Danio rerio: one gene and its partners. The protein of the gene in region 3 binds, or shares a complex with, the protein of the main gene of each other region. Links are inferred from orthologs where the notes say so. Each region holds a gene or a part of one and is shown on either strand. Other genes may lie near its edges.

What was found.
Region 1: rbm15 (region 3) and mettl14 share a complex: the UniProt entries of both Homo sapiens proteins name them as parts of the WMM complex. The link is inferred for Danio rerio from reciprocal best matches to the Homo sapiens genes RBM15 and METTL14.
Region 2: rbm15 (region 3) and wtap share a complex: the UniProt entries of both Homo sapiens proteins name them as parts of the WMM complex. The link is inferred for Danio rerio from reciprocal best matches to the Homo sapiens genes RBM15 and WTAP.

Annotation. Positions count from the first base shown.
Region 1 is NC_133176.1:21,570,371-21,574,610, forward strand, and holds the start of mettl14 (N(6)-adenosine-methyltransferase non-catalytic subunit METTL14), read right to left. Parts: upstream 2,851-4,240; 5' UTR 2,759-2,850; coding exon 2,693-2,758; intron 2,552-2,692; coding exon 2,463-2,551; intron 2,261-2,462; coding exon 2,173-2,260; intron 2,068-2,172; coding exon 1,990-2,067; intron 1,407-1,989; coding exon 1,319-1,406; intron 1,241-1,318; coding exon 1,150-1,240; intron 861-1,149; coding exon 719-860; intron 212-718; coding exon 119-211; intron 1-118. Other genes in the region: prss12 (neurotrypsin), read left to right, coding at 4,236-4,240. UniProt on the Homo sapiens protein: The METTL3-METTL14 heterodimer forms a N6-methyltransferase complex that methylates adenosine residues at the N(6) position of some mRNAs and regulates the circadian clock, differentiation of embryonic stem cells and cortical neurogenesis.
Region 2 is NC_133195.1:33,721,942-33,726,284, reverse strand, and holds the start of wtap (pre-mRNA-splicing regulator WTAP), read left to right. Parts: upstream 1-1,493; 5' UTR 1,494-1,650; exon of another isoform or gene 1,651-1,838; intron 1,839-2,420; 5' UTR 2,421-2,428; coding exon 2,429-2,458; intron 2,459-2,553; coding exon 2,554-2,609; intron 2,610-2,700; coding exon 2,701-2,759; intron 2,760-2,912; coding exon 2,913-3,040; intron 3,041-4,304; coding exon 4,305-4,343. Other genes in the region: sod2 (superoxide dismutase [Mn], mitochondrial), read right to left, coding at 427-455. UniProt on the Homo sapiens protein: Associated component of the WMM complex, a complex that mediates N6-methyladenosine (m6A) methylation of RNAs, a modification that plays a role in the efficiency of mRNA splicing and RNA processing.
Region 3 is NC_133183.1:26,684,666-26,688,884, forward strand, and holds the start of rbm15 (RNA-binding protein 15), read right to left. Parts: upstream 2,863-4,219; 5' UTR 2,716-2,862; coding exon 154-2,715; 3' UTR 1-153. UniProt on the Homo sapiens protein: RNA-binding protein that acts as a key regulator of N6-methyladenosine (m6A) methylation of RNAs, thereby regulating different processes, such as hematopoietic cell homeostasis, alternative splicing of mRNAs and X chromosome inactivation mediated by Xist RNA.

The DNA.
Region 1 (4,240 bases), on a different chromosome or scaffold from region 3:
CAGCATATTTGTATGTGGGCAGGTTATTATGTGTACATCATATTTGAGATAAGTTTAGGTTTATGCACATGGAACAGAAATCTGCCATGTCAAGTTTGTATATTTGTGAGATTTGTACCATTCGGCCAAGATCAAGGCCTTCTCCTGAGCCACACCACAAGAATACAAAAGAGCGAATGGATGAGATTTCCTCTATGTTCAGCTTCATGATCTAAAGCACACATGAATACAAAAATAAGTTATTATATATGTTAGGACATCTTACATTATTATATTATATGAGCATAAAATATATAATAACTGTTATCTAAATGGATAGTTCATCTAAAAATGAAAATTCTCACCATTTAGTCAGACTCAAATGGTTGTAAATTGTTATCAATGTCTTTCTTCTGTTGAACATAAAACTAGATAATCTGAAGAATGTTGGAAAATGCAGCCACTTACATCCATATTAGGAACAACAAAAACAACTAAAACAAACAAACAAAAAAACTATGAAAGTCAACGGCTGTTTTCCCCCAGCATTCCTCACTATATCTGCTTTTGTGTTTAACAGAAGAAATGAACTCAAACAGCTTTGGGACAAGTGGGGATGATAGAATTTTCATTTTTGAGTGTAGTCAAGTATATCTCTAATGTGTATTATAATACATAATTGAAATCAATTTTAAAAACATTCTCATGAGGTTGATTTTGAGAATTTGCAGTAACTCACATCGTCCCAGTTCCAAAAGCGCTCATTGGCAATGATGCCTGACTCTCTGTAATATTCCTCTAATGGAGGCTCTATCAGAATCACATCAAACTTGCACTTCAACTCTCTCAGATCAAACGTGTCTGGATCTGCCTGGAGATACCTGAAACGCACACAAACGCAAGAGTTATTACATTCATAAAAGCATTGAAAAAGACCCAATTGTCCCATAGTTAAATGCTTCTAATTATTATAAAAAATAACTGATTTTATTTGCTTAGCAACCTCAAAATCACTTTTGTTTTTAGTACGTTCAAATAAAATTCTAGAATCTAAATAAAACCCAGTGTTTTATACACAAATGTGAATAATTTTCAGGTTTCAAAAACTGCAAATGGGCACCACTGGCCGGTATGGGCCCTATGACATAGACTGAGACCAAGTTTTCTTACATGGGGGGAGTGTTGGTGGCAGAGATGAGTTCATCTTTCAGTCGAATGAGCTCTCTTTGTTTGGGGTATTCCTCAAACCTGTCAGCCAAACCTACAGCACATGAGAACACACAGGTTAACACACTCTCAAAGTGGAAAACTAAAAAGAAAAAGTAGAAAAACACTTTACCTCCATCTCGGATAAAGTTCTGAGGTCTATGACCTGTGTCCACAAAGTGCTGGCAATAATCATTGTGAGGATTTAAACTCTGAGTGCCCTGTGAAACAAGTAATGATATAATAAAAACATTACTTATGTTATTTTAGTAATATTTAGAGTGACTTTGCATAGACATAAACTATGCAACTGAAAAAGGAACCAGAAGAAATAAATCCCCTATGACATCTTATACTGATACATAATACAAAGGAATACAAAGGAAAGAATGCAGAAAGCAGAAAAAGCCAACAGGTAAATGAGACTATCTCTAGCTTTCTGTATGTATATACTGTATGTAACACTTGTTTCCCAAAAAAGCTCCAATAACTAAAACTGTTCCTAGTCCTTGCATTACAAACATGTCAAAAGCGAGAATTTCCTACATTAGTTCTAAGAACTATGAAACATACCTTAATTGCAAAACCCAATGCAGTTTACGTTTACTGTAAGGGACAGTTTTTCTGATGGAATGAAAGAATTTAAAGATCGTACTTTTCAAAAATTACCATGTTTTTGCCTTTAATGACAGTATATAGTGGTAACCGTTTTGTGAATATATGTCTGAGTATCCTCACAAAAATATCATAGCTTCTCATACCCGATTGCTCAATTAAATCATATACAATTGTGTTTAAAGATACCTTTAGAAATGTGCTGGAGTCCTTGTACACCTCTTCATATGGTCCACTCTCTTCCTGATGTTGAGGCTCAACATCTTCCTACACCATACAGCAGATTCAAAATCAGTTACACATAGCTCTGACCTGATCAAATGTAAGGGCTTTTCTGAATTAACAGCCGATTCCTGATCAGCGCTCTCTCACCTTTTGCTCTTCCACATCTTCCTCTGGATCTTCACCCTCATTCAGACACTTCCTTTTAGCACCAGGAACTGATATGTCAAATGATGCCCTACAGTAAACAAACCAAATGGTAACTGACCTCAGCATCGTTCTGATTAATACTAACTTACAAGTAGCAGCATCACATACCCGTGCTGAATGTAAAGGTTGTCCTATCAGTACAGTTTTAGCTCTTTTGGGGTATATAGGTCTTAGTGTTCTTTATTTTTTAGTGCTGCACATAGTCCTTGAATTTAACAAATGGTTTATACCTGCAGGTCTCTCTAGTCTCTTCAATCTCTTTTTGTTCATCTTTACTGTTGAGAACTGCGCCGATGCTGTCGGGACTCTCTGCTCCGAGCTGTAAAACAAATCATTAATGTCATAAAACATTCGCAATGCTTCTACGTTCATTGGCGTTAGTAATATAACACCGCGTTAATATGGCAGTGTTTGCTAAAACTGGCTTTCTGCAGGAAGAAATAAAGTTGTGTATTCGTACCTGTTGTGCGAGAAGCTGACGTCTGAGCTTCTGCCTTTCCCGTATTTCTTGCAAGCGGCTGTTCATGTCGAAAATGTTTTGCAGGAAAATAGCTAATCGTGAAATGATCAGATGACAACAATAGTGCGGCAAAAATCCATTGAAACCCTCAACGTGAGAAACCGTCGCATGTATTTTACATCATCACAATGCTTGACGCATACGGTGACGTCAGTAGACGGCCTCTTACTTTTATTTGGAGTAAAAACAACTAGCGTAAACAAAATGTAATAATGATTATCTTTGAATGATTTGACTGTCAGTGTTCCTTCAGCCATTAGTTTTTGGAGATCACAATTTCAAGACGTAAACTCGAACCAGACTTTTAAGATCTCCAGACGTTTTTGTATAACTGAAAAATTAGAGAGGTAACTTAATATTTAAAATTGTTAATCGTTTTTATCATGTAAAACAGGTAATTGCACAATTTTGTAAAGGTGTTGACTTAAAATGTGTTTTCTGTAACGATTAAGAAGAGAGTATTGTTCATTTATTTTGATTGTATTTATACACTATTGTTTTGGTGTGATCTTTTTTTTTTTTGCGGAGTACGAGTATTGCATTGGAATTAAAAGAAATGATGTTTATTATGAGAATACAGCCGGCTTCAAAATTTGGTATAGTGTTTGCTCATTATATGTGGAATTTGTTTTATTCGTAAATGTAAATGGGCTGTGAAAAAAACCTAATTTTACTCATTTTAAAATAGAAATAGATCATGTACGATATAAAAACAAAAAATACTAAAACAAAAAGCAATGTTAATTATTTTAAAGCCTTAAATTTAGACTTTGAATAATTGTATTTTTTCTTTTCTTTTAATATTGTATTTGTTTTGATCTATCCTTGCTGACTGAAAGTAACTGAAACCGATTTTAAAAATATATTTTTAAATTAGCTATTATTCTATAATTAATAATGTTTATAATTTCATAAATGAAAAGCATTGATTCTGGTTGCATTTTACTGACACAAGAGGGCAGAAGTGAACTTTTGGCTGTTTGTCATTGTGATTAGTTCTGAAAGCTTGAGCCGAAATTTGTACACCGTGTTGTCTCGGAGAGACCAACAGTGATGACCAGACCAGACTAGACGCCAAATTACTGATATAACGTGGCAGACTCTCGTTTAAGTTCACTCTGTGGGAAGATCGGCGCGCGCAGCTCGGGCGCTATCGTGGAATGATTTATTTAGCAATTACTATTTGCCTCGTAGATTCTTTTTCTATTGTTCTGCAACTTGTCACTATTAAATGAAGGACACTATTGATTTTTACCATCAACTGTTCTCTTTTTAAACTTGAAATCCAGACTGGGCGACGATCATCAATATGCATGAGTCATAAGCTCCGGGCTTCCCCGGTTTCTCTTTTATTGATCCGCGTCTGCTGCTCTGATAACAGCCAAACGACAAGATGAGAAAACTCGGGTACCATGTCTTATCCACGCAGACTGGAGAGTAATTGTCGGGTGTTAGGGTGACAGTCACGGACAGGTTGATCGTGATGGA
Region 2 (4,343 bases), on a different chromosome or scaffold from region 3:
TGTTTGACACAAATTGCAATGATTTCTGATGAAAGTATTTTTTAGGAATGTTGACGAAGATTTGGTCGAAAGGTTTGTATGGTTCGTTTAAAATAAAAGCCAACAGCACACATTTAATTATTAAATATATATTAATTTGAACATTTTAACACGTTAAGCTGTTGTTTGACAGGCTCGACGGAGGCTAATGCAATTACAAGTACACAACTCATATACAACAGCAAATATAGCCTAAGCATCTAAAGTTATTCCTTGTTAAAACTACTCTCGTAATATTACTTACGTAAACTATTGCTGTCCGCTTAAACGCTCAACCAAACAGGTAAATGTGCGCAGGTTATTAATACCGCCATTGATTATATAAACAACATTTGATATTCAGACAGCGGCATATAGTATTAGAACCGATTCAGGCTTTATCATTACCTCCGAACATATCCGACTCTGCACAGCATGCTCTAGTCCGTCACACAGTGATACAAGCGACCAACCAACAGACCTAAATTCGCCACATTACAACCTGCCCTTGAAATTTCAACTTCAACTTGGACTAGACCATACCATTTTGTCAAAATAGGGGTCTGAGAAAATTTTTTTTGTATTTTTATTGATTGCAGACTAAACTATAAAGAATATTTCCGTGTAAAAATAAATTATGAATATTTGAGAGCATAGTATATATTATATATATCTCAAGGGATCGATAGTACTACAATGTAAAGAGGGTGCAAAAACCATGCCCCCTGTCCCAGTTGGTGTAATTCAGTCAGTCATTCTAGGCCTAGGTCCAGAGTGAGACAGTAAATAAATGGTTTCGTTTTAGAACTTTTGTTGCCTGATTTATTAGGATTGTACATTTTGTTTTGCTTCACATTAAAGCAAAATGAATAGCTCAATTTCTTTCCACTTAGTAATTTTGCAAAGAGATTACAAGCAATGGGTTAAGAATTACACAGATCGTAATTCCTATGGCGAATATCTAATGTAATTAACTTGATCATGTATGTATATAGAGAGAGTAAAACGTGTTATCGTTTAGTTAGCATTAAAGCTTACATACCAGGGTTGCCAGATCAATCAAAAGAAACGTGTCAGAAAACAAACCGGATATGAGAAAGGACTTTTGGAAAACACTAAACAGGACACACAAAATATATATTTTAGTCCTTCTTTTCTTGTGCCTTTATTATTGATGTCGTGGTGGTCGGTATGTTTTGTGTGGTAATTTGTCTTTTACAACTAGCTACCTACACCTAACTAACTAACAAAGCAAAAATGAAGTCAATTAATAAATGAATGATTATATACATTAACGTTTGAATGTATGCATGTAAGTTATAAATAAGCTATGTTATCATAATTGTAATAGGTTGTTTGTTGTACTGTAAAAGATGCACTGTTGTTCAATATCAACCTGGCAACACAGTGACAGGAACGTGCTCCTCCTCCTCAGCGCTCGCGCGAACGAACACACTGATGCTGTGCGGCTGAACATCGCGCACACGCTGGTCATGGCGGACGGGCTACCTTTCGTCTAAATAAAAAACGCAACATTTTCCCTATCCCGAGAACTATATTAATAAAAATAACTCTTTCGTATCTCACATTGGAAGACATACGTGTCATTCTGGTCGAGGCGAACCGGCTCTGGTAAGTGGTAGGGATTTAATACGGCTATTTCAGATAAAGTGCTGCTTCTCGGAGAGGGAGAGTCTCTTCCTTCTCCGCCATTTTGTGACAGCGAAAATGCTCCAAGAAGGCGCCGGTACATTTTTATTCCTGTGCGTCTGCAGTCATTTATTGTCTATGTTTTAAGACGAATCTGCATTATCGGCTACGTAAGTTCTTCATGTCTTCCCCGGGAGTAACGAGCACCGTTCCTGAGACTATGAGAATGGCGCGCGGTTGTTTGCGGCGCAGAGCGTTTACCAAGTCAAATCGTTAATTGACGAACTCAATTCGCCTGAATTACGAAACTAACCTTCTTGTTTGGCTATATGAAATAATATTTAAGGGCTACAGTTTGCATTTTTCGATTATAATACGTTAAATGTGCAATTCAAGATGCATATAACGTTTTAGCAGTAAGTTAAGGTTAGGTCAAAATGTTAAGTGATATTTTTTCACATTTTCGCAGTTTAGTTTGTTTCCACATGTTTGCTGCATTTAATTATCAGAAAGTGAATAATTGGCCTTAACTAAGCAAATTCCTCCACAATATCTGTTGTAATTGAGAAACAACAACCTCTCCCTCGCCTGGTGGCCTATATTCGTTATAGCACACGTGTAGGCGTGTGAAATCCATGCAACTGTCTCTAAATCTTTTCTGCATATTGTTGCTTGAAATTGCGTGTGTAGGTTTGATTCATTGATTTATTTGAACTTACTAAGTGTTTGGTTTGTATGCTTCTGTCTTGCAGAGATCAGAATGACCAATGAAGAACCTCTCCCGAAGAAGGTGAGCTCTTTGTCCCAGTCTAATCTGATTATATGATTCTTTCTCCTGAACAAGGTCTCTTTATGAGTCTTTATTTTCTTTTTATGTACTTGCAGGTTCGCCTTAGTGAATCTGACATGAAGACGCTGACTCGAGAGGAGCTCTGTACCAGGTATGTAACCATTCTCTCTCCCGCAAAAACAAAGTATGCAAGTTGAAAGATTCTTGATTGTAATGCTGGTATGTTTTCTTTCCGGGTGTAGGTGGAAACAGCATGAAACTTACGTCCAGATGCTTGAGGCGAAATATGCTGATTTAAACTGTAAGTATGCACATCTTAAATGTTCTGAATAATTCATAGTCTTGAGTGCTTTACTCAAGCACAGAGTGTTCAGTCTTTGTGTTAAAGTAATGTTATTGCATAAAATGAATTGTTGGTAACTAATGCATTTGTTTCATGTTGAAATGTCTGCAGCCAATGACGTGACAGGCCTGAAAGAGTCTGAGGAGAAGTTGAAGCAGCAACAGCAGGAATCTGCACGCAGAGAGAACATTCTGGTGATGAGGCTTGCTACAAAAGAGCAGGAAATGCAAGAGTGTACAGTAAGTTTTTTTTTCTTTTTTTTCTTAATCACTACTACATCTGTTTACTTCTGCTTTATGATCAAGTCTATTCTTGGAAATATGTCAGTTTGTTTGAGTAGTACTGAGTGTCTGAGTTTTGTAGGTGCTGCCTAAGTTGCACACTTCCCTACTATAAGTAGGTGCAAATAGTAAGTTATTCAAAATGAGTATCCACTCAAGAAGAGTGCATGTGATTTGAGATGCTGCTTCTGCTCATGGGTCCCCACCATGATGATTTCTTTTTGTTTACATATAGCAGATGCATTTCTTTTTCTAATGATCTGTGAGACATCAAAAAACATTGCAAATGTAATAGCTGCTATGATCTAGTCAAATGTGTTTTCAAATGTCGGCCATGCAAATTCTAGCTGTAATTTATCATGCTGTACTGAAGCGGATATGAGCATAAATTTTCCAACATTTCAACATGCTGGCATAAAGCAAAACAAATGCAAGTGGTGGCGGATGCAGGCTTGTGCATGTCTACAGTGTTCCACCTTTTACTGCAACTTTCACATTCAGGCACAAACTTTATTTGTAGCAGGTACAAATGACATTACGAATAGGGTTTGGAGTTTCAACTAGACTAGTTTTCATTGCGGTGATTGTTTAATATTGGGACATCAAAGCACTTCAGTTATACAAGCTACTCATTAACTAGACAATGAGCTTGGTATTAAACAGTTGTTTCAAAAATTAAAACTTTAACTGTATACTAGTTTCAAAGCTGAAGTTTTTTATTTATATAAACAGGGTTCATACCATCATAGAAAACCTAGAAAAGTCATGGAATTTTGACATGGTGTTTTCCAGGCCTGCTAAAGTTTTGGAAAAACAAAAGCCACAAAGTTTTGGAAAAGTCATGGAAATTGGATATCTGTATACTTGAATAAAGGTTTTTTACTTTTCTTCCTTGGCCAATCATATACTCTCAAATTATTAGTGCGGTGTAAGCATTATCTAAATCAAATTTACATAGATATAAATTGAAACTAAATGGATTGTTGCGTATTTTATGATATGCTGTAATAAATTTGAACTTGCATTGTTTTTCTTTTACCTCATATATGTAGATAATGCATGAAACATTAGGCCATAAATATTTACTTGTAAGTCTTAGAAAAATCATGGAATTTTATTAGCAAAAATATGTATGAGCCTTTTATATACGTACTTGCATACTCCATTGACTTTTAATTTTTAGTTTGAAATGCTGAGATTCTAATGGTCTCTTACCTTGCAGACCCAAATCCAGTACCTGAAGCAAGTCCAGCAACCGAGT
Region 3 (4,219 bases):
GCCATTTTCTCTCTTTTTTACTGTACATGTTTGGCAGAGCAGGTAACAACAGCTGCCCTTTACTCTAGTACCACTTCTGCTTTAGAGAGCATGCAATTAAGAGACATTAAGAGAAGCTTGCATTTAACAATACTTTAGTGTGTATTATGACTGTTAAGATGCTCCTCGCACAACGATCATGACCAGGAAGTCCTCTTCTGTTTTGGCAAGAGCTTTCGCAGAAGAATCTAAGAACTGCTGAGAGAAATCACATGGTGGAAATGCGTGCAGGACGCCAGTGTTGTCCTTATCTCTACTGCCGCCGACGGGCAAACTGATGACCCCGGCGGCCTGCTTTTGCTTCAGGTATGAAACCAGGTTGCGGAGAGGCCTCTGCGTGGATGCTGCTGGGTCTGATGATGAAGTCTCCTCAGAGCTGCCTGGAACTGCCAGTAGAACTGCGTAGCCTCCTGGGCCTGCCACTTTGATGCGCCGAGACACCTCGTCGATCTTGGGCTGGTCTAGACGAAGCCGTTGTGTGATGCGCAGCTGAGAGACTTTTCCACCCGTGCTGCCGTCGATGAGAAGGCTGGTGGCGACGCTCAGGTCCCCCTCCAGGAGGTGCATGCTGGCTGGGAAGTTACTGTTCTTGAGGAGCAGCATGCCATTCCAGGCCATGCTCAGCTTCCCCCCTGCGTCCTGTTTTGAAGCTTGGTTGCTTTTGGAGCTGCTTTCGGATCTGTCCCTCTTGGATGCACCTTTAGCTGAATCGCCCGCTTTGCGCTTTCGTTCTGCAGGGCTTGCGCCGATGCTGGACTCAGAGAGGTTGCTGTTGCTTTTGATGCGTTTCTCACCGGGAACTCGGTCCAGGCTGCTGCGGCTCTCTCGTGCTGGGGACACCCGGTCTGCTCTCGCTGGACGCTCAGAGTCACTGAAACGTCCGTCTCGGCTGCTGCCGCCTGGGCTGCCCTCAAGCGACGGGGGTCTGCGACGGCGGGCCGCCCACTCACTGCTGCTGTCAGGCGAACACTCCAGATGTCTGCCGTCCTCCATGAGCCGCCGTTTTCGTGCAGCTTCTCTGCCTGGCAGCTCTCGCTCCAGTGACCAGGCCTCTCGCCGTCGTTCACGCTCTAAGTGTTCAAGGGGCTCAAATGCAGGAGTTCGTACACGTTCACGAATAGTAGGTGCTGGCCACTCAGCCCCAGCATAGAGTTCTCTTTCTCTGAAGTGCAGTGGCGGAGGAGTCCGTTCTCTGACCCTGATGGCTTCAGGGGTGGCACGATGAACGAAAGACTCAGCCATGATTTCATAATGTTGCAGGGGGAGGGGCTGCAAGAACTGTTGTTGGTAGCGATGCTCTGTGTCAGCAAAGTCCACCCTCAGCCTCCTGTCAGGACCACCAAGAGGAAATCCACGCATGTGTGTGCAGGCTGCCTGAGCAGCGTCCAGGCTTTCATACTGAATATAAGCCCAGGTGTCCCCTTTTCTGTAGTCTATAGTCCTAATAGTTCCAAAGCGGTCAAATTCCCGGGCTAATGCAGTCAGAGGCACCCAAGGGCCAAGACCACCCACCCATAGTCTTGTGGTTGGGGTGGCTTTACCATATCCAATTTTTATGGGGTTTCGGCCCACAACTTTCCCAGACATGCTAATTTTAGCTCTGTGAGCCATGTCCAAATTCTCAAATTTAAGGAAGCCATAGGTGCTGCTCTGGCCACGAGTGGGTCTTTTAATGTCCACCTCAGTGATTGTCCCAAATCGTTCAAAAGCCCTCCTCAAATCGTTTTCAGTCACAGTAATATCCAAGTTACCCAAAAACAGTGTGCGGTTGGCTCTCTGGTCGTCCTCTGGAGAGATAAAGTCCTCCTCACGGAAAGGAGCGGCTCGCTCTGCTATGTATGCGGGCCGCGCCCTCGCTTCATAAAAGGCAAACTCTCTTTCTCTTTCCAGCTCTCTGGGCAGAGGCGGGGGTGGGGGAGGAGGAAGCCGACCCAGTGCTAACTGCTGTAACCGGTAGTCCCTGTAGCCCAGGCCGGTTGGAGAGAGCGGCCTCTGAGTATGCAAATGTCTATGGCCTGCAACAACAGAGAAATGATCCTCCTTCACCGGAGAGCGACTCCTCCGCCTGTTCAAGTAAACTGCCTCGATTTTTAAAGGACGGTCGTAGAGCACCAGCCGGCCTCGTGCGTGCTTTGCCGCCCTGGCATCATCCGGTCTCCTAAAGTTGACGAATGCGATTCTCTCGTCGTTCACTCGGCTGATTTTGACGCTCACGTCACCAAATTTTTTGAATTCATGAAAGAGGCCGTCCTCGATTTCCTCGTCACTCAGCTGCGAGCCAAGCTCGCTGATTTTTAAAGTTTTGTACTCACTTTCGTTTGTGGGAAGCGGTGCGCGCGCCTCCCCGCGCGAGTTGGTGCGCGCCGCCTCTAAGGACAGACTCGAGGCGTGATTTTTGCCGCTTGAGCTCGCAACAGGGCTCGTGTAACCGTGGTTATTACCAGTCCGACTGGATACATGTCCGTCAAATTCCCGTCCGTCTCTTTTATCTCCAAGCAGTCCCCGTCGTGCAGAGCCCCCGTCGCTTTTAGACGAACTATTGCCGTTGTTGCTTCCTCCGCCAGAATTCGAGATAACCCCCATTTTCTTACTGGTCGGATGGCTTCCTCCCCTGTCTCGTATATCATCCAAGGCCCTTGAACGTTTTTTCACCGGCGACCGCTCTTTACCTTTCATGTTAGATGTCCTCTGGCTTCACGCGCCTAACAAAACACTTTTTTAACTGTAATGCTACCGCAACGTCAACGAATTTGCACGATAAACTGAATAAATTGTTCAGTGTCCCTGCGGCAAAACAACCGCATACGCCATCTTGTCAAGACTAAAACATGACCCGCCCGTCGACTTTGATTGGTTTGAATCTCTGAGAAACGACAGCGCTATTGGCTGATCCGTCTGTCAATCTAAAGCACTAGTACAGCGCCCAGTCTCGCTGTACACCATTTTAGCTTCAAAAGCCAAATGTTTACTATAGCCACTTTATAAAACACAGAGGTGACATTCAACTAACCACACATATAGTCTTTGAGAACATGTACTGCCAATATTATATTTGCTTCTTAAACCATATTTATTAATCATCTCGATAAATCTACAAAGAGTGCTTTGTATAGGCTATTTTTAAAATTAAACGGTGTTTAACTTTAATAGATGCTAAGAGTCTGAGTTTCACCTACATGTTATTTCTTATAAATTTAAATGAACTGTGCAATCTTTATAAAACGTAAGTAATCCAAATAAAAAAAAACTAAAACATTCTCGTTGTTCACTTGATGTCCAACAGATGGTGGTGTTTGCCTTTCACAGAGGTGAACGGACGTGAAAAAACAGCCTTTTAACCATGTCGGTCAGCTATAGATGAGCATTTTCCATGGGTTTTAGCCATTGGTTTTAGCCTAATAACTGAAATAATTTCTTAACTAAAACAATGCAGATCTCTGATTATATGCCCATGTCTGTGAATTTTTTTTTATGTTAAATTGTAAAAAATAAATAAATAAATAAATAAATAAAAGTAATGTTATTGCCTTTAAATTAGTTAAAATTTATCTTAAAACAATTTAGTGTTTTACAATTTGCATGCTTTACTCATACCCTCAGGGACCATTATAGTTTTAACTTATACAATTATCAATTCAACCATCAAAATTAAAAAAAATTACCCCCAAATTATTATTTTTTTCAATGAAGAAAAATAGGAATATATTTATAGGACAATGCTTTGAACTTAATACAAAAACGTCCAAAACCTTAAATGAGTGATAATAAAACAAAATACAACTATTTTAAAAACTTTATCATGCACATAAACACATTCATCCAATGTTGATTCACCAGAAGACAAATTGAACAGCCAACGTGTCATTTATTTATTTTTTACAATGCACAAACTGCATTCAAAATCAAACACTTTCTTGAGTATTTGAGTAGGCTACATACTTTGAAAACACGCCCTACATAATGAACATAGTATTGTTTGAACAATCTAGAACTACAAGATTAGCCATGTTTTAGTGTCACGTGCCCTACATCTTCAGTTACGTCACTTCACTGGCATTCACAGATCCTCTCATGTTGCCTTATGGAATAGTCCCTTGGAAGCACATTGCAGAATCTCACCAAAAGAAGTAGGTCATCTGAATACTTACTACAAGTATAATGAACCTCTTTGTTTTTTACT